4 linked regions of the Astyanax mexicanus genome follow. The protein of the gene in region 2 purifies or fractionates together with the protein of the main gene of each other region. This does not show direct contact. Links are inferred from orthologs where the notes say so. Each region holds a gene or a part of one and is shown on either strand. Other genes may lie near its edges. The genes, in order: SAP domain-containing ribonucleoprotein, zc3h11a, ncbp3 and ddx39b.

Region 1 (8,159 bases), about 5.2 Mb from region 2:
ATTAATCACATGCTAGAAAAATACATTACTTTAAATTCTGCTAAAAAAAACCTACCATGCTCCTCCAGATACTGCTGCAACCGAGCAATCAGATCACCTTTATTTCCTTTTATGTCAAGACCCCTTAGAGAACACTCCTGCTTCAGCTCAGCCAACTGTTTAAAAAAAAAAAACAAGAATAAATTATAGAGATTATAAAAGGTACATCAAGATATGTGAACACTAAAGCTAGTTTTCAGCATTATGATTTCAGTTTTAATTTAATTCAAATGGTTTCTTCTCATTCAACGTGATTTATCTTTGAGTTTTTTTACATTGTAAATTCAATATTAAAAAGATAGTAAAGTTATACAGGAACACATGTGGAATTATTTGGCATACAAAATGTGTTGAACAAAATAGAATAAGTTTTTACGATAGACTCATCTAAAGCCCTATCCGGACAGTATTAGTTTCTCAGGGGGTTTCTGGGGGGATTTTCTCTTTTAATGGGGGCCTCTGTGATTTTATTGCTTAATTTCACTTTGGGTGCGCGTTTCAATGGAGATCTACGTAAACAAAAGAAAAAGTGGAAATGGAGAAGCTACTAAACACACACTTGACCAAGAAAGCCAAAAAAACTCACCTATTGTTTTAATTGCAGACCGGATGCAAGAGTTTTATCACGAGTACAAGTGTGAAGTATTTTTCACAGACGTCCCCCTAAGAAACTAATCCCATTCGGATAGGAATTAAGTAGCACATTTAGCTTTGAGGACAGATCTACACACTATTGTTTTTTCATGAGGGAGAGTCACCTGGAATAGTTTTCTCAGTATCTTGACAAAAGTTGCTCTCAATTTCATGGTTTAGATAAGGGGACTGTGGAGGATTTTTATGTATTTAATATTAATCTACAATGTAGAAAGAAAGAAATAAATGAAGAAAATATTTGAATGAGAAGGTGTGATTTTTTAAAACACTGTTTTAAAAAAACTGGCTGTGAAAAGAGAAAGACAGTACCAACAGAAGGCTTAGATGTTTCTAGAATTACCATAATTATGTAGTTAACAAACAGCAAGAGCTATTAAACACGTGTAGGTCCACTATATGACTTAAAAGGAAGCATATTCATAGTAATGGGTTCAATTTACCACTGTAAATAAACCCCAAGTTGGTTATACTGGCTGTTTAGCTTGTAGACCAACAAAAACACAAACCTTTTAATCTACTGACCAAAACTGGTCAACCAGTTTAACCAGCCTGACTCGCTTGAGCTAGCCATGATATTTTTTAGCTGGTTAAGAGCTGATTAACCAGTAAAGAGTGTGTTTATCTCTATATTCTCAGATTTTCAACTACTTTAAGCATATAAAACCAACTTACACATTGTAGCTAAACTAGCTAGCACCAGTTAGTTTAGATACAATTTAAGGTGGAACTTAAATTTTTAACAAATGTTTAAAGTACAGCCCAGAAGCGACGAATAAGGTAAACCTAGGTCTGTTTTTTTTATCCACTTTTAAACTCCTCAATATTTTATTTGCAGTATGTAGAACAGCTAACAAAATAACATACACTAAATTAAACAGCTCTGTAAACATGCAGTGAGGTGTAGCCTGAACGCTAAGCTAACGTTAGCTAGCTAAGCTAAGCTAGCTAGTTGACTAGCTTTCTAAAGGTGGACTGAGCGCTATACCCTTCACTTCTCTAATAAATCAGATTAAAAACCGGTTCTATTTATCCATATAAGCACGAAATTCTCGTTTAACTCGAATAAATTAGTTTATTACCTTCAGTTTCTGGAGTTCTACGACTTCAGCCATTTTTAGCTCCTTCTCCACTACAGGCTTCTCCCCTCTTCTGTGGCTCAGAGCGCGGTCAGTGCTGCAGCGCCGCCCTCAGACTGATTCACTTCAACTACAGGAGAGGGGTTTATTTAAATCAGACCAACGATTTTACTGACAATAAACTGGTTATACGGCTTATAATAATACACATGAAATTATTACAAATATAAATGAACATAAAGATTACTTTCAATAATACTATTTCTGTGGACTGGGCATAATAAATAACACAATAACAAAACAATTTACAACAGGCCCCATCTAAAACATCTAGCTCATGACCATTATAAATTAAAAATCAGAAATAAAATGATGGATGCCCACTATATATTCTGTACTGTTCTTTCATAGCTCCATACATATGGGCCACTCCACCAAGTAGGTGCCATTTCTGTCCTCAGGAAATTACGGAGACTGCAGTTTTAGGACCCTGCAGTTTCAGGACCGCAGTTCTAGAACCCTATGTTTTCGCGACACTGCCACCTAGCGAAAATAATGACTTACTACTCCTTAATATAATATCACAGATTCAAAGGCTTATTTCACACAAATATTACCAATTCAGCTAACTACTTACACTTTATTTCACCACTTTGTCTCAAAATTTGTCTTAGAACTCCCAACCACATTTTGATATGAGAGGACAAGCCTGAGAGGGGTATAGTAAGTGTAATATAGCTAAATATATTTATTTAGACAGTGGCCAGTACACTAAGCAACATACTTTGCAGCAAAGTGTAAATAAGGTATTGCTAAACAAACCACTAACTAGGTAGTATCTTGTCTATAATCGCACAGTCCCACAGCTAACTTGCAAGATAGGTAGCTATAATTAAGCTAACTAAGTTACTATCTCAGATTCTACAGTAGTAATTATCTTCCACACAGTCTGTCTGTATTTATAAATAATTGATCTAGTGTTCGTGTTTGAAGTGCTTTCTGAAATGAACAGAGGAGCTTTATTTATTTATTTATTTATTTAGTTTAAAAAGGTATATCTGGATATCTATCTTAATTTAATATTTTTACAAACCACAGAGCAAACCGTGGTTAAAGTGAGGATTTCTACACCGTTTAAGTGATATTACATGGCCACAGTGGTGAGGTAAATGCCCTGTTTTAAGCTGTTTTAAACTCACCTTCTCCACAGCAGCAGCGGTGGGGGCTGTGACTCGCGTTGAGCGGCTCTGGGCCGTGAGGCGCTACCTGTCACGTGATCTTCGGAGCGTGATGTGATTGGCTGGTTGTTGGCTCGATTGAAGACTGAATCGATTGCTCATCCTGTGTGTCCCGGATGTTGACAGCGAATTTTGAGCGTTGTATTTTAGCAGTCGAATTTGACAGGTCGAATTTGAGCAACCTGAATTTATTTTAATTGAATTTTTAAAACTTGAATTTTTGCTTTTGAATTTTTTTACATTAAAATAAAATAAGTGAAAATGATATACTGAAAAACTAAAGTGTTTAATTCAGAGGCAAAAAAATCACATGCAATAATTCAATGTAAAATAATTCAGTGCTAAAAATTCAAGTGCTTTTAAATTTCAAAATCTGGTGACACTGTTTTACTTCCATACCACGGCTCCTCTGATCCATGACCCCCACTGGGTGACTCCTGTGGGGTGTGGTGCCTGCAGCAGGGGTATGTTTTATTTAGTGCTGGTGTTTACAGTAAAGGGACGATCAAGAAAGCAGTGAATACATTCTCCAAAAAAAGTACAGTTTATTCAGTCTTTAATAATCTGTTTGTGTGTAGGGTGCAATAAAGAACTTTTAAAATATAAACTAAATAAACTGTATATATGTATACATACACACACACACAAAACAGAGACCATTAAAAATGATGAGTTTCTTTAATTTTACCAAATTGAAAGCCTCTGGAATATAATTAAAAGGAAGATGGACGATCAGAAGCCATCAAACCAAGCTGAACTGCTTGAATTTTTGCACTAGGAGTGGTGTAAAGTTATCCAAAAGCAGTGTGTAAGACCGGTGGAGGAGAACATGCCAAAATGCATGAAAACTGTGATAAAAAACAGGGTTATTCCACCAAATATTGAATTCTAAACTCGTAAAACTTTATGAATATAAACTTGTTTTCTTGCTTTATTTAAGGTCTGAAAGATTTGCATCTTTTTTGTTATTTTAGCCATTTCTCATTTTCTGCAAATAAATGCTCTAAATGACAATGCTTTTATTTGGAATTTCGGAGAAACTTTGTCCATATTTTATAGAATAAAACAACAATGTTAATTTTACTCAAACATGAACCTATAAATAGCTAAATCAGAGAAACTGATTCAGAAACTGAACTGGTTTCTTAATTTACCACAACAGTAAAACAAAATAAGTTATGCCTAATTCACGACATCTTCAGCCAGAAGCACAACTAGATATGAAATCAGTCATAACACGACTCTTCTGTGTTCTTACATGTCTGCAGTGTTGACATTTATGGAACTACTGAAGATATTTTTTGCCAAATAAAGGGCGATTCCATATTTTACAGAATGGGTGGCAATCCTAGCACAGGGAATGTTTTTTTTTTCTGGATGACCAGCTGGAGTCTTGAGCTGTATTTTTTAGCAGGGTTTTGAATGATAAATTATAATAGTGACCCTCATCTGTATGGTAATGATTGCTGCTGTTTACCACCACCATGTTTTACATTAAGTATAATGTTATTTTTCTAAAATTATGCATTATGTTTTGCGCCAGACGTAACAGGACACACACCTTCCAAAAAGTCCTGGTAAATGTGACTGCAGATCTGTAAATGCTTTTCTGGGTTCTTTTGTGACCTCCTGGATGAGTTGTCCATGCCATGTTGGTATAATTTTCGTTGGTCAGCCACTACTGGGAAGGTTCACCAATGTTCCATGTTTTCATTTGTGAATAATAGCTCTCTGTCTGGTCCACTGGAGTCCCAAAGCTGTAAAAATGACTTAGAAACCTATTCCGTCAATGACTGTTTTTGATGATTGTTGCATAATGTATTGCTTTTTGAGATATTTTATCTGCACTATGTTGTCAGACAAGTTCTATTTAAGTGATGTCTTGATTCTACAGGTCTGGCAGTAATCAATCCTGGTTGTAGAATTTTTTTTTTACAGTTCTTCAGGAAATGCAATGGTGCTGCACACCAAAGAACTTAAACCAAAACTAGTTACAGCAAGAACTAAACTTTCCATGTCCCGATATGTATAAAATGTATTCTAGCTGATACAGATGCAGTGCTTGCTCACTTGGTATTTATTACAATGCTCTGGATTTAATATGGTGGTTAATGAAGTTTTTGTTTTTCAAGCTTGAAAGTGTATTTTTTATTTCTTTTCAGCAATATTTGGTAGAAACTGTTTGCTAAACCCATTAGTTCCAATATTAGAAAAAAGAGAGACTTGTTACAGAAACAATCAATTTATCTTTGTGTTCTGTTGACTAATAGATGCAACGTCATACTACAACGGTGGTAATTAGACTTTGCATCTAATTTGAAACATAGATCAGAGATTAATGTAAACCAAGCACTGCAGCTTTAAAAGGTTATCTAATTGACCCAAAGTTGATGCTAAAATATAGCAACCAATGCCAAAGATCACACACAGGAACTGCTGTAGAAAGGTTTCAGTTCACTTTCCAGGTGCTAGGCTGAATTCTGCCTGTCCTTCAGCAAAATGATTAACAATAATTTTTAAAAATAAGGGTTATTGTACAGTTATAGTAGATTTTTTTTATAACAACTGCAATATCCTTTATCCCACTGTCAGTACATTCCTTAACCAAGCTGGTGAACAAGATAAACACGAATAAAACAGCACTTTTTTAAACAAGTTTATGTATAATTAGCAAACATTAATAAAACGCCTCAACAGGCTTAAAATCACAGATTACAAAAATATCCTGAACTTGAAATTGAAAGGTTTTTAGCCATCCAAAATAAATATTTCTCTGAATGAAGCTGGTGCATAAGTGAAGAGATTGTTGTTAAACAATCAGACAAATTCCTGAATCCACAGTTCACCAAATTATGGAATGTCATTTGGAGAGGAAGTCTCATCTGCACAGTACAAAATATGAGCCCTGAGCTGATGGACTCTTATACGCTGGTAAAAAAACAAAACAAACTGCTCATGTCATTAAGAACATTTTCCACAGAATCTTAGAATCTCAACTTTGGCTGAACTGTTTTTCTCTTTTTAAAAGGCTTCCAGAATCTGTGAGAATAGAACTGGCGAACAGTCTCTGAGCTACAGGAGAAATTCTTCAGGAAAAGGTAAGGTTCTAGTTTGGATCCGCTGCAGCCCGTCAGTGTCAGTCTGTGTATTTCCTGCTCTGCATGTCTTACAGCCTCAGAGGGGGCATGGGCATGGTGACGTCGCGGAAGAATCGATGGACGAGTGCATTTTTGGCTGAAATTCTCTTGTTGGGGTCATAGTTCAGCATTTGCTGTGAGGAGAGGAAAAAGTAAAAATAAATCATTAAGCTTTACACACCAGAACAGCACAGATAACACTGCTCCCCAGCCTACACACTCTTAATGTGCACAAAATCTCCTTAAATGAAAAATGTAGAAACAATTCATCAAAAGATAAAACACCAGTGTGGACCAAATAAAAGGTTACACTTTGCAATGATCCCCTTACAGACCTTCAAATATTAAAATTGTTAAATTATGTAATGAAGATGGCTCAAGATTAGGTTTTTGTTGAATTTAATAGAATCTCTAATCTGTGGTGGTGTTTCAGGAAAATATGTATTTTATTTAGAATGTTTTAGGCCCTTAATTTTGAACAGATCATTCACTCATTAAAAAAAACTTTTTTTTTCTATGATTTACTTCTAACTTTCATTTTTTTTCCACAATTTAGCCAGGCCTATTGTCCAACCTATTCAGCTCCCCATCACTATTAATGCCCCAACACCAGGAGGGTAAAGACTAGCACATGCCCTCCTATGAAACATGTGAATCAGCCGCCGCCTCTTTTCAAACTCCTGTTGATGTAGCATTGCCAAGTAGCATCACAGCACGTTCCGAGGAAAAAGCAGCAACTCTGTTCAGATACATCAGCTCACAGACGTCTTGTGCTGACAGGATTTAAATCTGAGATCTCCCGATTATAGTGTCAGTGATTAGCCTGCTGGACCACTTTGTGGCCTTACATATTTATTATTTTATTATGATAAGCGTCTATTTAAAATAATCATGTTCACACAAAATTAGCCTTTTTTCCTTTCTTTTTTACACATTTGACAACTCGATACTAAAATGTGCATAATCCAGAGGATTAGGCAGTATAATATAAAGCAGATAGGACTCTCACCCCAAGCAGGTCTCTTCCATCCTCGTCTAAAGGAGGCACTACTTTAGCCAGGTCTTGTAGAGCCCACTTCGGGAAGGATGGCTTGTAGTCTGGCATCGAGGTCACTCCAGGCCAGACCGTCTCGTCAGGTGTGCCCAGCGTACGGAAAATCCGGAAAAGCTGATCGATTTCAGAATCTCCTGGAAACAAAGCCCTTCGTGTAATCTGAGAAAATTAACAAGAAAAAAAACATACAATTTAGGTTAAGTATCTACAAGCCTATGATTTGTTGTTAGAAATCTTAAAATACATATTTATTTAAAAAAAACAAAAAAACAATTACATTGCATATTTTTAATGCAAAAATTGCTTGATTGTCTTGTAACAGTGAACACTACCAACCACCTCTTACCATTTCAGCAAATATGCATCCCAAACTCCAGATGTCAACAGCTGTGGAGTAATATTTACAGCCCAGCAGAATCTCTGGGGCTCTGTACCACAAAGTCACGACCTGGAAAACAAAACCGTTCAAATATGTCTAATTAGCAACAGAAACTATGATTATTCTTCTTTTTTCTTTTTTTTTTAATGAAAAACTAGGCATTTCGGAATACGCTAAATAGCCACTGTTGTACGGTGGGTCAATAAACCATGCAGACACACACCATACAGTGATGAGCACAAGCCAAATAAGGCTCCTCTCTCACCTCATGGGTATAGGTGCGTACTGGCACGCCGAAAGCCCTGGCCAGCCCGAAATCAGCAAGTTTGATTTCTCCCTGTGCGTTAATGAGAAGATTCTGAGGTTTAAGGTCTCGATGCAGGACCCGATGAGAGTGACAGAAAGCCAAACCCTGCAGCAGCTGGAACAGGTAGCTCTGAGGATGGATGGATGGACAGATAGATATACACACACAGTTAAAAACATCCACAAATAACAGGGTACAAAAAAGACCAACATATATACTGTACAGGTGTACCAGAGTGTAATGGTTTGTGTAGATGGTAATGATTTAGCTGAAAC
Region 2 (8,239 bases):
TCCAGGGTCTGCGGGTCGGCCAGCCTCACGTGTTTGCGCAGCTCGCTCGACTCGAGGGCACGCAGAAAGTGAACCTCCTCTGGGCCGCTCGCAGAAACGTTGGGTAAGCTTGGCGGGTTAGCAGGGCCATCTCCGATGCCAGCACGCCCAGTGTCTCTCCCTGCTGTCGGCGTCTGTCCGCCACTAGCATTTTGGCGGCCGCCTCCGACGGTTGGCGGCTGAAACGTGTTCTCAGCGCCCGCGTCAGTTCAGGCAGCTCGCAGCGGCACTCGGCGGGGAGCTCGATCAGTACCCTCAGCGCGTCGCCCTGCAGCGCCAGGCAGAGGTTGGCTGTCGTCTCGGCGTCCGTCCAGCCCGCACCGCCCGCCACGATCTCAAGCTGAGCTTCGAAGGCTGTCCAGTCAGCGCTGCCGTCGTAGGGGGTAAGGCGGGGTTGAGCCGTCAAGCCCGCCATCCCGGAGGCTTGCGCCGCCATCATCGCGCCGTCCGTTCCGCGAGTCGGCGCCGCGTCGTCCTCTCCCCGGCCACGACCTCCGAACAGCCCGCTGGCGCCGTCAGGTCCGAGTCCACTCCGCTGGAGAGCCTTGCCTCTAGTCCGTTGGTCCGCTGTCTTCCTCCTCAGCCATTCGATTTCCCCTGCCAGCAGCTCAATATCTTCTAGCAGGGTCACTTCTGACACCAAATGTGGCGTGGAAGAGGAAGGAAGACCCGTGAGACTCATGCTGAATGCTCAACAGCTCCTTTATTGAACAGGCTTGCCACTCGCTTACAGTCTTTAACAAGACTAGGAGAGCTAAAACCACCACTAAAGGCCACCAACCCAGCTGTGTGCCTCCCAGATGGCAGATCCAGAGTGGTGCCCACCCTCTCTGCATAACCCCTCCCAAGGGAGATGCCCCACCCCTGTCATCCTCGCACACAGGAGAACAGAAACATGCCTCAGGCAGCCACACACACAACCCAGAGCCGCCACAATATCATATTACAATAATTATTAATATTGCCTCCCCCATGATCTGCTTTCTCTCACTCACTGAAAAAAATTCTGTCCGGGAGGGGGGAAAACCCTGCCCGCCCACACTAAAAAATGGTTGGCTGTCTCACAGACTCTTTGCAGAGAACAGGCCAATCAGAACCCTCTCTGTTTTCTCTCTCTCTTTCCCACACGCGATTACAGAAAAAAAGTTTGGGGCACTCCTTCTGAATTCCGGGAGATTATATGTGACTCGCGGGCATCAAGGAGCCACTACCGAAATGTGGGAGACTCCCGCAGCTTCAGGGAGACTTGGTTTGTCTGCAGCCGGTATGTTTACAGGGTTTCACAACAGTGGCAATACTACTAACTTGAGATCTTATTTAATGCACAACCATCCAGCTGAATATTGAATATAAAAATAGTTCCCGCAGAGAGATCCTGCCTTAAGCTCCACACGATAAACATGCTGATGTTTCTTGCTCAGAATTTGTCTGACAGTTACATTAAAAAATACATTTATAGCAAGAGCTCTGGCCTTTTTTTTTATTTATGGGTGTACTTTATTTGTTGTAGTTATTTAAGATATTAAAATATTTTTATATTGGGAGCCCAATGTCTGCTCTTAATAATATAAAGTTAGTTTAACTGTAAAATTGTGTAATAGTATTGTGCTATTATATTATTAGTGTGGCACATTGTCTTAAAGCTCCTTTTTTAGCCAGAGGCAGGAAAAAGCATTTTCTATAGTGGTGCTTTAAAATGACAATATTATCGTTTATCGCAATAATTTCTGGGACAATATATCGTCCTGAAAATGTTGTTATCGTGACTGGCCTAACTGTATATGACTCCAGACAGTGTTTAATTTACTCTACAAAGGTAAAGCTAGTGGTAGAGTTATTTCAACTCCCCAACTCATTTCATCCAAAATATTATATGATGAGTTTCTTTGATGCTACAATCTAAAAACCTCTGGAATATAATCAAGAGGAAGATGGATGATCACAGGCCATCAATCCAAGCTGAACTGTTTGGCATAAAGGTTTCCAAAAGCAGTGTGTTAGACTGATGGAGGAGAATATGCCAAGATGCATTAAAAACTGTGATTAAAAACCAGGGTTTATACCACCAAATACTGATTTCTGAACTTTATACTTATACTTAAAACTTTATAATATGAACTTTTTTTTTTGTTGCATTATTTGAGGTCTAAAAGCTTTTTTGTTGTTTCAGCCATTTCTCATTTTCTGCAAATAAATGTTTTAAATGAGAATATTTTTATTTGGTATTTGGGAGAAATGTTGTCTGTAGTTTATAAAATAAATCAACAGTGTTCATTTTACTCAAATATATACCTATAAATAGCAAAATCAGGGAAACTGATTTGGTCTGTATATTTCAACTTTTGAACCCTCTGTAACATCTTTTTAATCTTTATCTGTATTAAATAAAACAGCACAACTACTATACATTCTTATCAACATAACTTGCTGAGACCCACAGGGTTCTATCATAGGCTCAGTCTGAAACAGAAAATTATAATAATTAAGGTGAAGAACTAAAGGGTTGGCCCATGTACAGAGTTTAAAGAGTTAACAGTTTGAATAGCAGTTCTTTACAGCTCTGTAAACACAGTCAGTAAGTGTGCAGTATGATCAAGGTACAATTGAGCGAGGCTTTGAAGATTAATACTGCTAATTTCAAAGGTCTCTGTAGATCATAAATCTGTGCAATAAATATAGAGGACAATAAATAATCAGATTTCCAAGATCCCAAGCCTTTCAACAAAGAAAACACTCTTATTTGGGTTCCTCCTGTTTTAGTTTGGTGGAGGATTGGGCGGGGAAGAACGATAGTACTTCGACTCATGAATATTTAATATGCAAACGTATGTCCTTTGATTGGTTAACAGAACTGTGACGGACACACCCTCAATGGCTCTGCAGTGGCCTTCGCAAACAAGTTAAGCGAGGCCGTGAATATAACAATATACAATATACTGGTAGAAGTTATGCTGCCTCAAAGTCCTCCTCAGAAATTTCTACTTATAAGGTTAAAGTGATAAAACATGATATATGTACTGTATATATTACTGTAGGAGCAGGATCCATGCTTGTTACTGACACGCCCCCTAATGTGAAACTCGTGGCTTAAACTGATGTATGGTAAATATTGAATTTACCAGATGAGAGCACATGGACGCCACCACAAACTCTTATTTTTAGATAAAACTCAGAGTTTCCCAGTTGAGGGTGTGTCAGTAACAAAAGGTCAATAGATTACAGTAACTTTATTTAAATTGATAAATAAATTAAATAAAATGATGCAAACAGTTCGTATTGTAGAACACTCGCAGATTGTTATAAGCCAATGTATAAAATCACTAGAATTAGGTGAAAAAACGTAAGAGTCTAATTAAAACATCGCTTAAATAATGTGTGTCTTATTCTCTTCATTCTTTTGGAGTAGGGCAAAATAAACCTCCTATTTTTTTTTATAATAATAGACCAAAACTATCAATTATAGAGCTAAATTAGTGCCAAAACTACGCAAATAAAGAAAACGTATTCTGTAAATATGATACTACTTGCAAACACACGACACGTTTTACAAATACAAAACTCGACTATCTAACACACACAGTGTGTTTTACAAACACAAAACCTGATGGTTGTAAATATATACGTACACTTCAAAAAGTCCACAACTGTTTTCTAATACATTGCTCTTAACAAACAAATATAACATGTTTTACTAATGCAAAAAGCAATAAATAACAAGTAAAACATGATTTTTAAACATTACCGTGTCATGATTCACGAACACGCACAGCTAATTTGTAAATCCATTTTCACTCGAACAAAAACGCTCAAACACATGTCAAGTCGTAATTACCACCTGCAAACCCTTAAGTAGGAATTTAGGAGCCGCCGGTGTCGTGGCGTTCATGTGCTCTCATCTCGTAAATACAATATTTTTGACACCACTTGAAAGCAGCATCAGTCAGGGAGGTTTTCATTGTTCACTGTTTTTCTGTCTGTATTTTATATTGGCTAATGCAGGCAATGATGAGAGTGATGGAGTGACCTGCTGTAGTTCAAACAGACCAAATACTTTTTTTTACATGTTTATGTAAAAAACTATCAATAAAATGATTGTTTATAAATACCTACAATAAAAAGTATATGTCACTATTTATTTACATTTTTTACTAAAACTGTAACCTCAGAGCAACAATATACAGATTTGTCATGGGAATAATGCAAATAAAGCAGCAGTGGTTATTATTTTACTCCAAAAATATAATATAATTCATGCCATAGAGCAGGGGTGTCCAAACTACGGCCTGCGGGCCATTTGCGGCCTGTTTCCTTTTTTGGAGCGGCCCGCGAGGTATTTCAGAAATAGAATGAAAGTTTGCCCGCTGTTAAGCAGGTTTTTATAATGTGAGATTCAAAGCTTGAACGCTAGGTGTCAGAAATGGGCCAAAGAGTCTAAAAGCGGAGAGAGTGCGCATTTCTAGCGCAGAAAAACGGGGCAAAATAGTCTAAAAGTGGAGGAATGCGCATTTCTAGCGATGAAAAACGGGTCAAAGAGTCTAAAAGCGGAGAGGGTGCGCATTTCTAGCGCAGAAAAACAGGGCAAAATAGTCTAAAAGTGGAGGAATGCGCATTTCTAGGGCACAAAAACGGAGCAAAGAGTCTAAAAGCGGAGAGGGTGCGCATTTCTAGCGCAGAAAATCGGGCCAAAGAGTCTAAAAGTTGCCGTAATTAAGGAGTTTAATATTAAGAGACATCATGAAATTAAACATCAATTTGAAAAATCTTAGTTTACACAACACTGTCAAAGATAAAGATAGTAAGTCAAGTAAAATGGTGTGTAAATGAAATAATCAGGAAAAAAAGTATTATTTAAAGTGGTATATTTCATTATTTGTTTTATTACAGAGTGTGGCCCGTAACTTCAAATATATTTCTCCTTCTGGCCCCCAACAAAAATAGTTTGTAAACCCCTGCCATAGAGGGTTAAAATATAAAAAAATAATCCAGCCGAAACATGAACGTTTATTCAAAGTTCTTTGCTGTCAGAGGAACGTCACCGGCGGGGGCGGGGCTATCAGCGCGAAGGCGCAGTCGCCATTTTGTCCGTTTAGTGAAGCTGGCTGGGAGAACCGTCGACCGGGGGACTTAGGAACAAATCAAGTTTTTAACAGTCAAAACCTTAAAACGGGTAATTTTTAACTCTTTATTTATATCGTGTATATCTGAAAGCTGAATATATACATTAAATACGAACAGGCGAGCTCGCGGTTTTCTGCTGGTGTTGAGTTAACTAGCTTAGCTGTTAACTTAGCTATAACAGTTACTGCTATCTGCTGATACTAAGAACATTTGGTAAAACTGCAGAAAAATATCGGGTATTTTTCCGCAGACGGCTCGGTTTATATAGTAAATGCTGAGTGTGGACGGTAGACAACTAATTTAGCTAAGTTAACTAAGCGACTTCTGTTACGTTGTTAGCGTTAGCTAAGTTAGCTTAGCTTTGTTAGAGTTAGCAAGGTTAGCTTACAGAGCTAAACACCACAGGCCCCAGTCTTAACGTTACATAAAGCGCTGAAAGTACAGTTTAGCTAAGTTAGCTTAGCTGTTTATCTGCCTAGTAAACTAGTTACTGTAAATGCTGATACATGTGTGTTGAATTGTAACGTTATTAATGTTGTTAGCTTAGTAAATTATAGTTATTATTGTAGAACTCAGAAAGGTTAACTAGCTAACTATGTAACATCTAAACCGCTTTGTTTTCCAGTAGAAACCGTGAAGTTGAATTTCGCATTCGCCCTGTAATCCTGGTTGGTAAAAAACGCTTTCCTGATCATTTTGTTTTGTTCATTCTCTTGTAACTTAGTTTTATCTCTGTTTTGTTAAACCATACGTGTGTATATTATTTACTAAAGAACATCACTTTGATAACTTGCTGTAGTACACTGCTCAAAAACGTTATGGGAACACTTAAATATCACAATATGACAGTACCACAGTTAGGAAATGTAACCAATCATCAATGTTCACCTGCTTTAGTACAAATTAATTTGCTGAAATGTGCAGCGGGGAGACAACAGCAGCAAAAGAGCCCCCAAAAAATACTGTCTAATCTGAATCCTTCCTGATTGATAATTTTCTAGTCTTGCTCTTTTCTAGTATGTCAGTACTGGTAGCATGAGTCATTACCTGCACCACTTTCAGTTTGCATAGGTAGTTAGTCCAGCTCTTGCAGGATGTTACATTCAAACCTGCTGTCTGTCGCAAAGAGGTTTGCTGTGTCTTCCAGCACATTCCCAAGAGCAAGAAGGAAGATACAAATAGACATGCAGTTACACGAGGAGAGCTGGACCAGTATCTGCTTTTAAGAGCATGAAGGAGCACTGGCAGAGCACTACAAAGTGACCTCCAGTGGGTTGCTGGTGTGCATGGTTCTGATCAAAATGTCAGAAACTGGGTCCATGAGAGCCCAATGCGTGCCTAGCACCATACAGCTCGATTGGCATTCGCCAAAGAACACCATATTTGACACTGAGCACATGTGCAGATATGAACGAGATTAGAATAGTGAACCCATTACACTTTACTGAGTAGTGTATGAGTGTCATTTGTTCCTTAACGAATGGCACAATTTATATCGGTAACAGTTTTCACTTTGTGATTTAAGTGTTCCCTTAATTTCTTTAAACAGTGTAGTTAATCAAAGTGGGAGCAGGCCAGCTGACAAATCTCTACATTGTTGTTGGGGCAAATTGTTAGGGTTGTTAGTCGTAGGTGATTGGGGTGCAATTGTTTCACATTTTGTTAATTTTTAAAGCATTTTATCTGATTACAATTTGTGGATATTCCTTATTTGTGCAGTGTGCTTTGCACATAAAAAAAAACATTGATTGCTATTTGCAAATCTAACCAAAAATTGATCGACAAGGTGAAAAAGTTTCAGGATACCCGTTTATATAATTTTGTATATTATAATTATATTATAAAACACTGTCCTGTGACTTTTGACCCTGTGTTATGAAAAGCTGAAATTCTGAAACCCTATAAACCTTTGTCCCCACCAAATGATAGGTTAGTTTATTTATCATGTGCATTTTTTGTGTCCTCATAGCAAATGTTTGACATTTTAATGTTTTTGTGCATTTCTCAGTCATACCCACTTTCACCAGCCTGTGGGAAGTGTTTTTCTTCTTCTTTTTAAATGTAGGTTGTTCATGAAGAAGTTGTTCAATCCGGAAGTAGCTGGATTTGGATACAGGCTGACTTTGCCTAAAGGCTTCCCCTGAAGATTGCCCTTTTTTTAAATATCACATCCACATTTTTTCCCCCCAACATTGGGCGTTTTTTTGTCATCCCGAATTTTGCCACAATTTCAAATTCTACCTCAGTTAAATTTTCTCACTTTCTCACACACCAAATTATCACCCTGTGTTTGAAGATAGAGGATTTCTGCCCCCTCCCCACTCACCTTCAAGATTTTTGTTCCCATTCTCCTTGGCTCTCGACATCTAGCTTGAAGATATTTGTGCCCTCAAACCCATTCTCCGCTTTCAGAAGTCTTTATTGAGGAAAAAAAAGAAAAAAAAAAAAAAAAAAAAAACACAATCACAAAATGGACTTTTCACCTTTTCACCACTGATCACTTTTTACAAAGCAGTCTATGGAGAGCAGGTCTCTTACAGAAGGAAACCTAGGCCACAAGTAGCCTGTCTCTCGCCCTGTTCAATCTTTACTCATCGGTCAAGTGTTCCTTCAGGATCCAAACAGCTTGGAGCCAGCCCTGAAGAAGTGCACCTGGAAACGACGTGTCCACGGCAGGTGATTGGACCCACAATGTTAAAAATATGCATTTCTATGGGAACTTTTAAGGGTTCTTCAAGAAGAAACTGTGGAGGAACCCCTTAATATGCTTGACAGAACCTTTAAGAAAAAAATGCTCAGTGAAGCACCTTAGGCTTTCTTGAAGGTTCCCCAAAGCATTTCAGAGGTTTCTTTCACAGTTTTAAATTGAAGTATTTCCTTTACATTTAAAAGAGACTACCTAGCAAGGATTGTTGTGATATTGGCTTGTCATGATAATTCTATTTTTGTATGGACAATAAATAGAAATACACTGTTAATGTGCTCTTCTTGCTAAGAAAAACAAAATGGGCTTCATGAAGGTCAGAAAAAATGGCCGTGTACTAGTCTGTATGTTGTACAAGAAGTTGAAAACAAGCTTACC
Region 3 (7,256 bases), on a different chromosome or scaffold from region 2:
TAGCATCAATAACAAAAACGTCAATTTTTTCTTTGTTGCAAAAACAAGTTCTAGTCTCTCTGGAAAACCTTTACGGATACACTATGGGTTGTTTTACTAACAGAGTTTAAGCATCATCATAGATAACACTTCCTCTGAATTAGGAATCTCACTGGGAACTAACTGACTAATAACTTTAATCAGCTCCCAGAGCATAAGTGAGGTCAAATACTGATGTTGGATGGTTAGTTTTATTTTTAAAGTTACTCATTTCATAGGTGATGGATGGAGCTCCATGTCTTAAGAAGACACAGTTCCTCTGCTCCACACTACAAAGCTGGGGGTTTAAAATCCATCTAGCCAATACTTGGCATCAGGAATGTTGAACCAAGGCTCATAAATAGCCGTGCCATTTAAAAATGCTTTTCTATTGAAGAACAGGTCACTGAATTTTCACATCACATAGGACAAATGGTCTTTCATCATTACGCCTACACAAACACTAATGCCATTCAATTTCAGCTTAGCTCAAGTGGAGTACTTACCTTTTTTCATCAGATCTCTGTCCAGAACAACATTTCTCTGAGCAAGATTGTCCTCTGCACGAAAGTGGAATCTCCTTGCTCTTTTTTCCTTCTTCTCAATTGCCTCCTAAACAAATAAAGTTCAAGAAAATAAATGACAAGCAATATTAAGAGAGCTTTTTAATGTCACAATGGAAACAGAAGACCCTTACCTTGGACGTTACATCAATCCCAGTGATAAATGTGCCAGCCTTGTTTTCATATCGTCTGCTTGTGTCCTGAGGAAAGCACAAAATAGTAAACAACATAGCCAGATTTTTGAACTATACAGGTAATGTTTCCTATCTGTATAACAGTCACTATCAAATGATTTTTACTAATAATAAGATTACTGATATTTAAAACTATAGCAGAATCACAGTGGAGACATCTGCAATCACAACTACTATTACAAAACGTAATTACTAATACCTCTAATTGCACTTTACTAGTATGAATGTAATTACAGAAGGAAGTATGAGAGATTCCATGTAAATCTAAGGTAACATATGATTGGGTAAAAGTACATTAAGAATGTGTCACTGTATAAATATAGCTGGCTAAAATCTCTTTATTATGAGCTGGGCAATATATTGATATTTGATTGTACAATGATACACTTTCTTATCATAGACAACATGCTTTAATATGCATATACAAAAACTAATGCATAAAAGCACTGACCAAGCTGCACTTTTTATTGCAAAGTTTAAATGTTTCATTTTGTGATGTGCAGAAAAAAACTGAATAAAAATGTCATGCTTGTTTTGCTACAGATGGAGTGATGCACCATTTTTGATGAAGTGATATAATATTTTACTATTTCTCCCAACTCTGTCAGTGCATGATCACATACATCACAGGTGGTGGGTTTTATGCTGTTCATATTGATACCGAAGGCAAGTCAAGAGGCTTTTATTGTAACTGTATAGGAATTATATTGCATCGACCGAAACTAAAAATATGATATAAATTTTGGTAATATCGTCCAGTCCTTTTTTATTAATCTTTAGATCTGACATCATTACAACATTTCATAGCCGATATCTTTGCAAGCCTATTTCTGCCTCTTGGAAAAAGTAAGGGCCTCCACTAACTAATAATTATTAGATGTTAAGTCATTATTTTATGAAATGCCAAGTCATTATTTTGAGGTACTAAGTCTGGGGTAGTATTTCACATTATGACTTAGCATTAGGGTTGTGCCATATCATATCGTACGCAATAATATCGTCAACATTTTTTTATATTGTGAACGATATTATACCCTGAAATATCGTGCCATATTACCCACCCTAATTATTACATGAGGGTACTACTTTTTTGCTGTTTTTAGCAAAGGAAAATTTCTCACTCTTCTCATTTTCCATAATCTACTAGAGACAGATTACATCTGTCCAGTAACGTTACCATTCATTTACTTTTACCCTGGATATCACTGGTGTATTTATTGACTAAAACAGCTTGCCATATGATGCTACAGCACTAACTTAACTGATCTAAAACTTTTAATATAAAATCCTTAATACTTTAATACTTCAATGAGTGAAATAAATGTTTATTATAAGGCAAGAAAGGAAAAAGAATAAGTTAAATACTATAATATTATAAAAGAACCCAAACCCTCAGAAACACAAGAAAGAGAAGTTAGCCATCTGGCGAGCTAGTAGCCAGGTAACTAGCTTAGACCAAGCTAACTATGTAAAACTGACAACACACAATATAATAACTCACTAGAACATTATGAAATAAAACTGCTTAATAACGAAAACGGCAAACGAAGGCTTTAAAATATAGATTATTTAATTCCTAGTTTTCTGTTAAGCATCTTTCATAATCAACAACTGAACATGACTAACGATAGCTAGTTAGCATAGGTGAGTAACCTAGGTCTAGAAAGTAAAATTCCACCCCAGGATTTTGTATCAAACTGCCTGAACCAACCGCAGAGCAGACGAGGCGGTTGGTTCAAAACACTGGGCTGGATTTTTACTTTCCCGACCTGGGTTACCCACCTCTACTAGCTAGCAGGGCTACATAGCATTACAAGCATTAGCATCAAAACTTGGGACTTGAGCTAACGTTACAACACGTTATTATAGCTAGGTAATTCATAGCGTGTTAGTTAGCTAACTAGGTTAGCTACAGAGCGCCGCCTAAGCTTGTTAAACAACATAATAAAATCCCTCATTTACGGATGGAAATGTAGCTAACACTGTCAAGCTGCGTAACGCATGAGACCCAGTAAGCTAAGCTAGGCTAGTTAGCTATGTTATATGACAGTAGACGTGTCTGTGTAGTGTTGGTTAGCTAGCTAGCTAAGAACGCTTATCCTCCAGTTCCCGTAGCGGCCGAGCTGCGACATCCATCGGCCTCCTTCAGCAGGACACACCGCGGTCTAACTGAGGCCTAGCTAAACTCACCGGTAGCAGTTCCTTCAAACTTCGGCGGACGGGGATAGACTCGAACTCGACCTCGCCTTCCTCCACTTCCATGGGCTCCGCTTCTCTGGCATTTCGATCCGAGTCGGAGTCTGAATCCGAGTCCGAGCGGTCCGAGGCGCTTTCGGGTTTCACGGACACCCGCAGACTGCGAACAGCCGCCATGACATCCAGCTAGCTAACAACGGGAGCTCCGCGCTAACGTCTGTCTCATTGAACACAGCGGAGTAAAACCCAGCGAGCTAAGCTAGCGAGCTAACTAACGCTGCTATAGCGGACACAGAGCGCAGGCTCGGGCACCACAGGCTTCTAGCGCGCCAGCACTCTACTGTAGCAGCCAGATGGAGAGACCACTTGTTAGACAGAGAGAAAGAGAGAGAAAACGTAGCAGATTATTATAACCCGCCCTCTCCACAGTAGTACGGTACAGAACCTCTAAACTGACATTATGTAAAAGAAAATAATAATAATATTAAAAAAAATAGCAATGCGTGACAATCACTTATTAAGGTGTGGGAACGAGATAATTATGTCCTGGCCATATAAGTCGTTCCAACGCTTTAATTTTAAGTCGTGGGCATGCATTAGGATCTTCTGTGGTCATTAGCATAGTGTAGCCTCTACAATAGCTATCAAGGTATACAAATAATAATATAATAATAATAATAATAATAATAATAATAATAATAATAATAATAATAATAATAATATAATAATTATGTTTAACATATAATGTTATTATAACCTGCCCTATTTACATGAGTACTGTATGGGGCCCCTGAAGTGACAAAATGTAAATATATATATATATATATATATATATATATATATATATATATATATATATATATATATATATATATATTAGGATCTTGTTCCCATGCTTTATTAAGTTCTGGCCACAATTTAGGATCTCATTTCTATGCTTCAGTAAGTTGTGGCCATGAACTGGATCTCGTTTCCATGCTTTAACAAGTTGTGTCTATGCATAAGGATCTAGATTCCACGCCTTAATAAGTCATGACCATTTATACAGATCTTATTCCCACACTTTAAAAAGATGTGGCCACAATTTAGGATCTTGTTTTTTCGCTTTAATAAGTTGTGGGCACAATTTAGAATCTTGTTACCATGCATTAAAAAGTAGTGGCCATGCTAAAGGATCTTGTTTTCATGCTTTAAGAAGTTGTGGCCATGACATATGATCTCATTACCATGCTTTACTAAGTTGTGGCCATGCATTAAGATCTTGTTCCCACGCCTTACTAAGTTATGGCCACAAGTCAAGATCTTGTTTTCACACTTTAATAAGTTGTGGACATGCATTCATTCAAGTGTACTGTATAAGAACACTTTATGGGAAACAAAGATGAAAAAACATATGCAAAATACAATTTTTATTCTGGAAAAATCAGCAGTCATAAAGATACATTTAAACATATAGCAGAACAATCATAGTGAAATAAATTAAAACATCTGAGGAATCATTTAGACCACAAGAAACCAAAATATTTCTCTATACATCTTTCCCAGAGAATATACAGACATTCATTTTCTTTCTAAAACAGTGTCACACATTAGAGCTGTTTATAAACATGTGCGATTTTAAATTCTGTTTGGCCATATTCTGATTTTCTAATCCTGCATTAACAAATTTACACAATACATATACATACAGGTGAGATCATCCTACATTTGTACAGCAAGGTCAGTCATGGAATAATGAATTAACATACACAGTACAGCCAATAAAAATGCAAGTGGTACTGAAACTCTTGGTCTGTTGCGCTGCATTTGCAGAAAGGCTGACGAGATCCAGCCATGTGGATTTTACAGACGATGTGAAGAGTTGTGCAGCTTCTGGAATGTCATGTCTGTGGATGAAGGTAGGTGTTTTAATGAGCTGCAACAAGGCATTCTTGGGTAAAAACATCAGACATGGTTGTATTAGCAGCATACCTGTCAAGTTTTGGCCGGGAAACTACCGTATTTTACTCCTCTTTCCCGCCGTCCTCCCGTATTAGTATTTTCCAGTAAATTTCCCGTATTATATATAAAAAAAAACTTTACTAATGAGGCGACAGGGCACTGGTCACTGTGTGTCTCTTAACCAATGGTAGTGCCGGTTCAAGGAGAAAGTCCCGCCTTTCAGGTGAAACAGCCAATCAGGTTCCTGGTTTCGCGGAGCGCAATGTAGGAAAGCCCCGCCCCCCTCGCTGTGAGAGCTAGTCGGAGCAGCTGACGTTAAAGCATATCTGGATATACAGCGAGGTAACGGAGCTAAACATGTAAACTATGATGACGTTGTTTCTGAAACAGTCGGATCAAACCGACTGTGTGCTTAAGAAAATACAGCTTGTGACTCAGTTAGCTTAACTTTACAATTAGATGTTCAACCTGCCCTGATCAGCCAATAACTATTTCATTTTCAAACTGTGTTTATTAATTTAGGTTTGCAGGCCTACTGTAAGCTATAATGAACGAAACTGTATTTATTTTATTAGTTCAGGGCTAGTTTAAGAGTATTGTGGTGTAATTTAATATTTAGAAGGGGCAAAAGAGATGGTTGATCTGGAGAGAGAAAATGTGAAGAGGGCTGAAATTAACTGACTGACAGGACTGGACTGATCAATAGAAAGAAGTATTAATTAAATTATTAATTGTTTAGGCCCCTTTGGACTAATATTTACTTATGCAATATATCTGGTCCATGTCATTTTTGTAAAAGCTGATGATTTCATGTAAATGTCTAGAAAAGGGTTTAACTTAGGCAGTATTATAAGAATTACATATGTAGGAATGTCCACAACATTTCAGTGTCAACAAAGATAGACCTGTCAGATTTTGATAATCTAATTGTAGTTTGTAAAATGTTCCCAGGTGGTTATTTAGATTTATTGTAAACCTGTCTTAAAATATAAGGGATTCTGAACCTCGGTTGGGTTGGTGGGCGACTCGAAGCAGGTGACGGAAAATTTCCCTTATTTTTAAGTCCAAAACTTGACAGGTATGATTAGCAGATTTGGTCAATTCATAGTGACGACTTGAGGCCAAACAAGCGGCAAACAGTAAAACATATTTATGATTCATCAGCCTGTAAAAAGACACTATCCAAAAACAGCTAATCTTAAGTAAGTTATGGCATTTCTGCTTTTATTTGACTTGATATAAACAAATACTGTGCTCAAGTTTGTTTTGTGCATCGAATACAGCACTTGTGAAACTAGAATAAATACTATGAGTGGTATAAGAAGGTCTGTAGTTGGTGGAGTATTAACTGAGTAAAGTTAATCTCTTTAGAACCACTTTGTGCAAATGCTGGAAAATGTCTAATAGCTGAATAACTAATAGCTTTAAACCCAATTTCACTGTAGTTGTTTGAGTTGATGGATGAAAGACATTGGCTGGAAACCTTTAGATTGGAAAGTTTGGTGGTTTAACATGGTCAAGAAATGTCTTCCCTCGACGTTTTAGCCACAAAATGAGGTTTTTAATCTCAGCAATAAGAATTTTTCACATTATAACACATTTATAACATTTTTTAAATCAATTTGGTTTTAGATTTCAGTTCAAGCTCACCTGATTTAAAGCTGTAAGAGTAAAGCCCCTTCCTAAAGTTACCGCCAATTAAAACATTAAAATTAAAACAGAAATTAATACAGTCTCACTAGTTGTAACAGTGTTGGAGAGAGTTGAAGCACACAGTGGGAGAATTTTGTAAATATGATTTTAAAAGGTGTAGACATTTTCATTTTCTATGTGTACTAAAATATTAATTAAGTCTATTGAGTTTTCACTGGTAATTTTTAACATTACCTTAAAATTTATAATGCTACTAGACCCTGTATTGTAAGCCCACACTTCAGTTTTTCACTCTTATAACTATTATTATTTATTATTATTATTTATTATAACATCAGATTTAAAGTCCCTATAATATAAACCTGTGCATCTCCACATAGTTTCTGCATTATGAATAATAGCTGAATAATTAACTTAGCACTCATAGAGACGCACTGATGCCATAGACTCTTCATTTTGCGCACCTGTTGTTTCTCTTTTGGATGGTGTCTGTATTGATTATTGTTCATTGTATTAATTCTAGTATTAATTTATTGGGTAAATAAACTCTTATTGCCCAGATCAGGAGCTTTTAAATTTTTAATAATTTGTACAGGTGCCTAAAAGTGTGCACAGTACTGAAACTAAAATTAAACAACATTCTCATAGACCCCATTTATCGCTTTCTGTGTTAATGTGAAAAAACAGACTC
Region 4 (7,305 bases), on a different chromosome or scaffold from region 2:
CCGGGCGCGTGCAAGAGCCTTAAATCTTATTTAATTCATGTTTTAGTGGGTCTCACCTTATAGAAAGACGTTAAAAGACAGAGTAAACAGTCCAGAGCTGAACATTAGCATGCTGCTATTGTGCTGCTGCTGTACAGAAAGCCATGTTGGCGTGATCACGTGACGCACACGAACCGGACTCTTCTGATTGGCTGATTCACAGCTGAACCGGCCATGACCAAAAGAGCATTATCTTAATTTCTATAAATGTTATTATTTCCAAATAACGATTTAAAAATTTTAAAATCCTACATATAAGTATTACATTTATTTTGCACTTTATGTTTCCCTAAAGCCAACAGTTCTACGCTTCTTTTTATGAACATTTGTTCTTTCTTTCTAAATTCATAACTATATACATTCGGCTCTAGAAAAAACGATAAGAGGTGACTTCAGTTTCTGAATCAGTTTTTTCTATTTATAGGTATATGTTTGAGTAAAATGAACACTGTTGTTTTATTCTACAGACAACATTCCTTCCAAATTCCAAAATAAAATATGACAATTATTAAAGCATTTATTTGCAGAAAATGAAAAATGGCTGAAATAACAGAAAAGAGCTTTCAGACCTCAATAATGCATAGAAAACAAGTTCATATTCATAAGGTTTTAAGAGTTCAGAAATCAATATTTGGTGGATTAACCTTGTTTTTTAATCACAGTTTTCATGCATCTTGGCATGTTCTCTACTACCAGTCTTACACACAGCTTTTGGATAACCAAAATTCAATCAGTTCAGACCGCCTAAGTGGTCTATTATTTGTTTCCAGAGCTGCATTTTTATGTATATACGTTTTTACTATGCGTTTTGGGACTGGTATGTGTAAGCAAGTTAGGTTCCAGTTGACTGCCCTTTACTGAACTCGTTTAAAAAGGAGTCATGTATGAAACACTCTATGAATGTGTATGAATGAAAAAAACTGTATGAATTTGAAAAGGTAAGGCTTAGCTGATGTAGCCAGAAAATACAATAACTATAAATGAAAAGAAAAACACAATACTTTCGAAATATACTAAAAACAAAAAGAACACAACAGCCCATCTCACATTTGCCAAAAAACATCTTGATTATCCCCATCACAGCAACCTTAAAGTGTAGTTAATTAAGGATTCTGCTGCTTTCTTTGATATTTAACTTGCCCTCATACTTATTCTAACTTAAAATCAAAACACTGAACACAAGACTGCTATTACTACAAATGTCTACTGCAGATATAGACAGAAATAACAAGGTAAAAAGAAAGACATATGCTTGTGCTTCTCACATTTTTTATATTACATTTTTTATTCATTTCTTTTTGATACAAAACATTTTGAATGTACAGCAAAAATGTCCAAGTCCTTGTGGCGTCTTTTTCCATTACATCTTGTGCAGACACAATATTGGATTCACGTTGTTGATCAATGATCAAATACAAGTCGGACAACACCAAACATCTCATGAATCTTCCTTCTCTTGGTGCCTGTAATGTAAACATTGAAATAAAAAAGAAATTAGCTTCTGTAGATTTCTGTGATTTCTTATAGATTGTGGCAGAAAAACTGTATGTTGTCTTGTTCATGTAAGTGGAATGACAAATTGAAACTTAAACACAGATGTTCTTGCCTCTCTCATTTTCACTCTGCCTTGATTTGTGGAAAAAGAATCAATATAAACCTTACTCTGTTCAGAGCACCCCTGCACCTCAGAGAAATCAATGCATTTAGCAGTATGAGTTATTAATGGAGTCACTCTGACATTACCTGCAGTGAATACACGTGAAAAACACCGTTTGGCCTTCATCTGCTGATCTCATTTGCCTTGTGTGGTATACCATTCCTTCTTTATTGCAGCGTGAACACCTTCTGTCCACCTGGTGAAGAATTTGCATAGAAGAAGATAACAATTATAAATGCTCACATTCCCTAATGTTTTTTGTCCACTGTTCACTCTTTAAACAACTGTTGCAGGGCAAAGATTATTTAACAAAATTTTTTAGTGTTAAATTTAGGCAACTTACCACAGGGCCTTTTAGTTCAGAATCCTCCTCACTCTCCACAGTAGTAGAACTCTGCACCAACGGATTAAATACTACAGATGACTTGATAACCTGCCCAGCAAAACCTGAGGAGAAAAAAAAGTTGACTTAAACATTGTCCTGGCTGTAGGTAAAAATCCCCCTGTATATTTCTCAGATTGTCTACTTAATTACAAACTCCTTCCTTGTCCATTCTTTCTCCAAACACGCTATGAGGGTACACCTACCACATAACTCTGAGCAGACGTTAATTGGATCTGGATGGTGATGACATGTTCAAATTAATGCCACTGCTAGGTAGTAGCTCTGCCACTACAAAATAACAAGAACAGTCCATCAACAGATGGGCTATGGTCTTTTATTGTACACCAGCAAGGTGGAACGTCAAATCAGCTTGATCAAAAATCCAGTTGCAGACCAGCTTTTACTGGTGTCTGGCTTTAGATGATCTATGCTGATATTTGATGATCAAAATTGTTGACAAGCCAGTTATCTAGTCAAAAACATACTGGTAAGGTTGGCCAGGTTGATCATGTTTGTTGACCAGCTGAAACATCAAACAAAACATACTATATGCTGATCAACAAGCTGATTTAAGCTGGCCATGCTGGCCGGTTTCCCCCAACATGAAGGTTTTTCTAATAGTGGCCACTAAGTATATCTAAATATCTTTAGGCCAAAATGAAATCTCACCACTGGCAGGAATGTCGAATGAGCACCGAGGACATGTAATGGTATTCTGAATTCCAGGGACTGGTAGAATATTACCACATTCAGGACAGAAGTTTATATCTCCTTGGAAGCAAGACATGGTCCTACATCAAGAGTGGAAATAAATGCACATCATCAAACATTAAATTAAAATACTAATTTGTAAAGTTATACATGACAATCCTACTTCATGATAATTATTAATATGTTCACATCAGCATTACTAAAACAAATACACACAAACTTATGTACCAGTAAGTAACTTTACATAAAACCATATTTAACTAATTAGCTGTAAACACACATTTGTGACTATAACACTATATACATTTCTACATTCTGTATATACATTTTATCCACTTACAATTACTTTGAGCATATGCGATGAGGCATAACAGGATATTAATTCATGCATTATTGTGACTATATGTTTTCTTGAACCATAAACACTATAACGTTACAATTACTTGCTATAGTAAACTCCGGAAGTATACAGACATAAGGAAAAATGGTTAAAATCTGTCTATGGTACACCTCCAGCGAAGTCCAACTGAGATAGGTCAGTGTATGTTTAAAAACAGTTCTGTTTACACTAGTTAAACATTTAAAAAATGGATTTTTACTTTCTGGAACTGGACTAACGTTACCCACCTCTGTGTAACTATAGTTTACATAGGATCTCCAGTGGATTTTGTGTTTTACAGAAACTCTGAGACTAGAGTAACAACACATGTTTCTCCCTCCCACTCCTCCACCGGACTAAAGCCGCTAAATACTAAAACAACAGATTTTTTTATTTTTTTTATTCATACTGAAGACCACAACCAGAAATAAAATAAAATAAATGAAAAAACGATGGCATGAAACCTTTAATATAGCAAACTATATGACAACTGTATGCAACAGCTGGATTTTTTTTTACGTGGAAGGAAAGTTCCAGTTAAATTTTAATAACTTGTATTATCATTGGTTTATTGTAAAAAGAAAAGAAGAAAAAGAAAAAAAGAATGAAAATGTAGATAATAAAACAATTTTAAAACACACAAGTGATCCAAATGTGTGACTTATGCTAACTAAAGTAATTAATCCAAGTTGAGAAGAAAAGAAGTTAGCACCCATGCTAACCACGACAAGACGAAAACTTCAGTTCCACCTTAAAAGACTCAGCAGTTATAGTCTCGTGCCTCAACGGCTGCCCGTGTAAATACAGCACGATTTAAGGTGGAACGAATATTTCGCTTAAGAAGCCAACTTTAGCTATCAACTACACCTAAACACGTGTTTACCAACACAACTAAACCCGACATTCTGCGGTTTCCACCCACTTAACTTACCGTCTAAACAAGCTCTTAAATCCAGTAGTGTCGCTAAAGCCGAGCTGGAAAGCGGAGGAGTTGAGCGACAGATCCCTGAGAGCAGAAGCCGGCCTGCGGAGCTGAGCTCAGGCGGAGCGGAGGACAGCTCTAGCTGCTGGTGGGAGGGAGGCCCTTCGTCTCAGAGCAAATGACGTGCAGGGGAGCAGCAGCAGCGAGCAGGTGAAATAAAAACACACCGCGGAGTGTCTCACAGTTAATCCAGGTAAATGAGGGTTTATATCTGATAAAATGCGGTTAAACACATGCAGCGCTGGCTGTGTTGTTCTGTGCACCAGTCTGTAGTGCAGCAGCGCGTGTGAGCTGCTCTGTAAACACATGCTGCTGCAGATATATACACAGCAGCCCTGTGCAGCTGATATACTGAAACCTGCAAACTTCATCCATTCATTACAATCATTTTTATAATTAATATGGTCATATCCGTCAGCTGTGGGTATTATATTTAATGTTGCCCATCAAGGCTGTGCAGTATTGATTATATATGTATTGATTATATTTTCATATAAAATTGCTATGGTACAATATTATTACTGCTTTTTTAAATAGCAAAACACGTTGGTTGTTGCCATATGTGCCTAATGCCTTCTCCCGTATACGAGCTACAGGTGCAGGTGATACAAAACCCTTTTTTCTGCAGTAAAATAACTTAATTACATTCTGAAAATTTGAGGGCTTTAAAGTCTCATACAGGACACTTGGAGAAGCTATAAAAAAATAATATTAACTAATTTATATTCAGTTTCAGATGTTTTTTTATATTTTTATGTAAAAATTTTATATTTTTTTTTATTTGGTTTGGGATTGTGACTAGTGATGACATTAGCAATTGAGATTTTACCAAATATTTACTAAATCTAATTTACAGATAATTAATCATATGATCTTCTTTTTTATCTTTCTAAATAGTAGGGACGAAGCGATGTGAAAATTCTGGGCCGATGTCTATATCCGATATACACATTTATAATAAAAAATTCTGGAATACAATAAATATGTAAGTAAGTATTGGTTTAAAATAATAGCCATATTTCCATATCATTGCTGAATATTCTAAAAAAATAATAGTATTGGCCGATATCATTGTGCATCACTTAGGGGTGGGCAATATGTCTATAAAATAATATCACGATATTTCAGGGTAGTTTTGCGGTAACTATATACTTGGCGATGTAGGAAAACTAAAATAATTAATTAATTTCAGGAATATAGTATAAGAGTATAACAGCATAATCATAATGTGGCAAAATAAATAATATAGCATAAAATAATATAATGCAGCAAAAATATTGCAGAATATTTAGTGCATGCATATAAACTGCAAACTAAAACAATTATACAATAAATACACCTAAAGCTTCACAGTAAATAATAGACTACTTTTAAGACAGAACAGCCCTATTATCACGATATGGATTTTTTAATATCACGATATTTCTGTGTCACGATATATTGTATACGATATAATATTGCCCACCCCTAGCATCCCTACTAAATAGTTAATACAGGTTAAACAGAACCTTAGTATCTTAGCATACAATACAGAGTCTCTAAAATGTCAATACTTTACTGTAAAAGCTACAAATTGATGGCAAAATAGCTTTTAAGGAATATGTGCATATTAGGCTTGTCTTAAACTGTAATAAAGAATATGATATCTGCAAATATTGATCCTTTAATTAAGTAAATATCAACACATTTAAATGCCTAATCATAATACAATTCGAGAAATACTCATTTTGTGTATCATAAAATAATATTTATATTTAACAATTTGAACACAGTTATGTTGATACTTACAGAATAATGTTTCTTTACAAAATCTTCTTATTGCTTGGGCAATATAATATTGTATGACTTCCCTTCATGTTTAGATTTTGCAGTGCAGATGTTTACTTACATCAGTTTTACTGTTCGTGCCTTTTTGAGCAGCTATATATCAGTATCCTAATATAGTATCAGTCAGTATTTTATCAGAGCATAAGCGCAGCAATTTGATTCTGATACATCAGCTCACAGGTGCCTTGTGCTGATCAAGTCAAGTCAAGTCAAGTCAAGGCTTTTATTGTCATTACATCTGAGTACAGGTACACAGTTTAATAAAATTACGTTCCTCCGGAACCATGGTGCAACATAGAACAACAAGCAATAGACAACATAAAGTGCAGGAGTGACGACAGATAAAATTATAACACTAAATAATAATAAATACAATAAATACAAAAGACGAGACAATTTAAAGACAGGACAGTGCAGTACCGATACGGTATAATAGAGTGTTTAGTGAGGATAAGGTGCAGAGATGTGTAACATACTGTAACATATAGAACATATATAATCACAGCAGTTACTGAGGTAGATAGTTTATAGTTTTTTAGAGTGCAGCAAATATTGCTGAAAGGAATAAAGTCATGTCAGTCTCTGTGATCAGGGGAAAAGAGCGCCATCTACCCACCTAGAGAGTGCAAAGCCAGTTGTGCTCTCTCGGGGCTCTGGCAGCAGATGGCAAGCTGCATGTCCTGGATTCAAACCAGCAATCTCCTGATCATAGTTGCAGCACTTAGCTTGCTGTACCACTCAGCTCCCGAATCAACATTTACATATGTTGAAACAATGTTGATTGCCAGAATTTATTTATGTGTAAACTTTGATTCAAACATTGATTCAAAATTATGATTTTATATTTATTGTTTGTATTAAACTTGACTTAAATTAAATATGTATATTATGTTTGTATTCTATTCATATATCCGTATACCGTTCTTTGCTCTCAGGGTAATGATCTACAGGCTAAATGTTTAATTAGTGTTTTCCCCTTTTTCAGAATGACTGAGAACGACGTGGAGAACGAGCTGTTAGACTATGAGGAGGATGAAGTAGATGCAGCAGGTGGCGTCGGGGATGGAACGCTTGCCGGTGACAGTGGTGCCATGACCATAAGAAAGGAGGGGGTCAAAGGCTCTTATGTGTCCATCCACTCCTCAGGGTTCAGGGACTTTCTTCTGAAGCCTGAGCTTCTGAGGGCCATAGTGGACTGTGGCTTTGAGCATCCGTCTGAAGGTGAGCAGAATGAAGGAAATCTTTAGCCAAAGTGAGAAGAGTAGAATTCCACCTGCTGTGCAAATTCAAGTCCAAAGAAACAACAAAACACAAGCAAGGCAGAC

What was found.
Region 1: the proteins of zc3h11a (region 2) and SAP domain-containing ribonucleoprotein purify together in Homo sapiens (affinity purification with mass spectrometry; 3 studies listed by BioGRID and IntAct, counting the BioPlex papers as one, with this or other methods). This does not show direct contact. The link is inferred for Astyanax mexicanus from reciprocal best matches to the Homo sapiens genes ZC3H11A and SARNP.
Region 3: the proteins of zc3h11a (region 2) and ncbp3 purify together in Homo sapiens (co-immunoprecipitation; 3 studies listed by BioGRID and IntAct, with this or other methods). This does not show direct contact. The link is inferred for Astyanax mexicanus from reciprocal best matches to the Homo sapiens genes ZC3H11A and NCBP3.
Region 4: the proteins of zc3h11a (region 2) and ddx39b purify together in Homo sapiens (affinity purification with mass spectrometry; 4 studies listed by BioGRID and IntAct, with this or other methods). This does not show direct contact. The link is inferred for Astyanax mexicanus from reciprocal best matches to the Homo sapiens genes ZC3H11A and DDX39B.

What each region holds. Positions count from the first base shown.
Region 1 is NC_064431.1:13,306,437-13,314,595, reverse strand, and holds the start of SAP domain-containing ribonucleoprotein, read right to left. Parts: upstream 3,050-8,159; 5' UTR 2,969-3,049; intron 2,223-2,968; exon of another isoform or gene 2,189-2,222; intron 1,900-2,188; 5' UTR 1,806-1,899; coding exon 1,773-1,805; intron 156-1,772; coding exon 56-155; intron 1-55. Other genes in the region: cdk2 (cyclin-dependent kinase 2), read right to left, coding at 6,174-6,278, 7,154-7,357, 7,545-7,646, 7,843-8,013. UniProt on the Homo sapiens protein: Binds both single-stranded and double-stranded DNA with higher affinity for the single-stranded form. Specifically binds to scaffold/matrix attachment region DNA. Also binds single-stranded RNA. Enhances RNA unwinding activity of DDX39A.
Region 2 is NC_064431.1:18,519,496-18,527,734, reverse strand, and holds the start of zc3h11a (zinc finger CCCH domain-containing protein 11A), read left to right. Parts: upstream 1-5,078; 5' UTR 5,079-5,206; intron 5,207-5,782; 5' UTR 5,783-5,825; exon of another isoform or gene 5,826-7,527; 5' UTR 7,528-7,833; intron 7,834-8,239. UniProt on the Homo sapiens protein: Through its association with TREX complex components, may participate in the export and post-transcriptional coordination of selected mRNA transcripts, including those required to maintain the metabolic processes in embryonic cells.
Region 3 is NC_064424.1:10,356,186-10,363,441, reverse strand, and holds the start of ncbp3 (nuclear cap-binding protein subunit 3), read right to left. Parts: upstream 3,325-7,256; 5' UTR 3,149-3,324; coding exon 2,966-3,148; intron 782-2,965; coding exon 716-781; intron 631-715; coding exon 525-630; intron 1-524. UniProt on the Homo sapiens protein: Associates with NCBP1/CBP80 to form an alternative cap-binding complex (CBC) which plays a key role in mRNA export. NCBP3 serves as adapter protein linking the capped RNAs (m7GpppG-capped RNA) to NCBP1/CBP80.
Region 4 is NC_064410.1:37,555,812-37,563,116, forward strand, and holds the start of ddx39b (DEAD (Asp-Glu-Ala-Asp) box polypeptide 39B), read left to right. Parts: upstream 1-4,256; 5' UTR 4,257-4,346; intron 4,347-6,965; 5' UTR 6,966-6,966; coding exon 6,967-7,201; intron 7,202-7,305. Other genes in the region: polr1h (DNA-directed RNA polymerase I subunit RPA12), read right to left, coding at 1,478-1,502, 1,783-1,892, 2,040-2,143, 2,751-2,868. UniProt on the Homo sapiens protein: Involved in nuclear export of spliced and unspliced mRNA. Component of the TREX complex which is thought to couple mRNA transcription, processing and nuclear export, and specifically associates with spliced mRNA and not with unspliced pre-mRNA.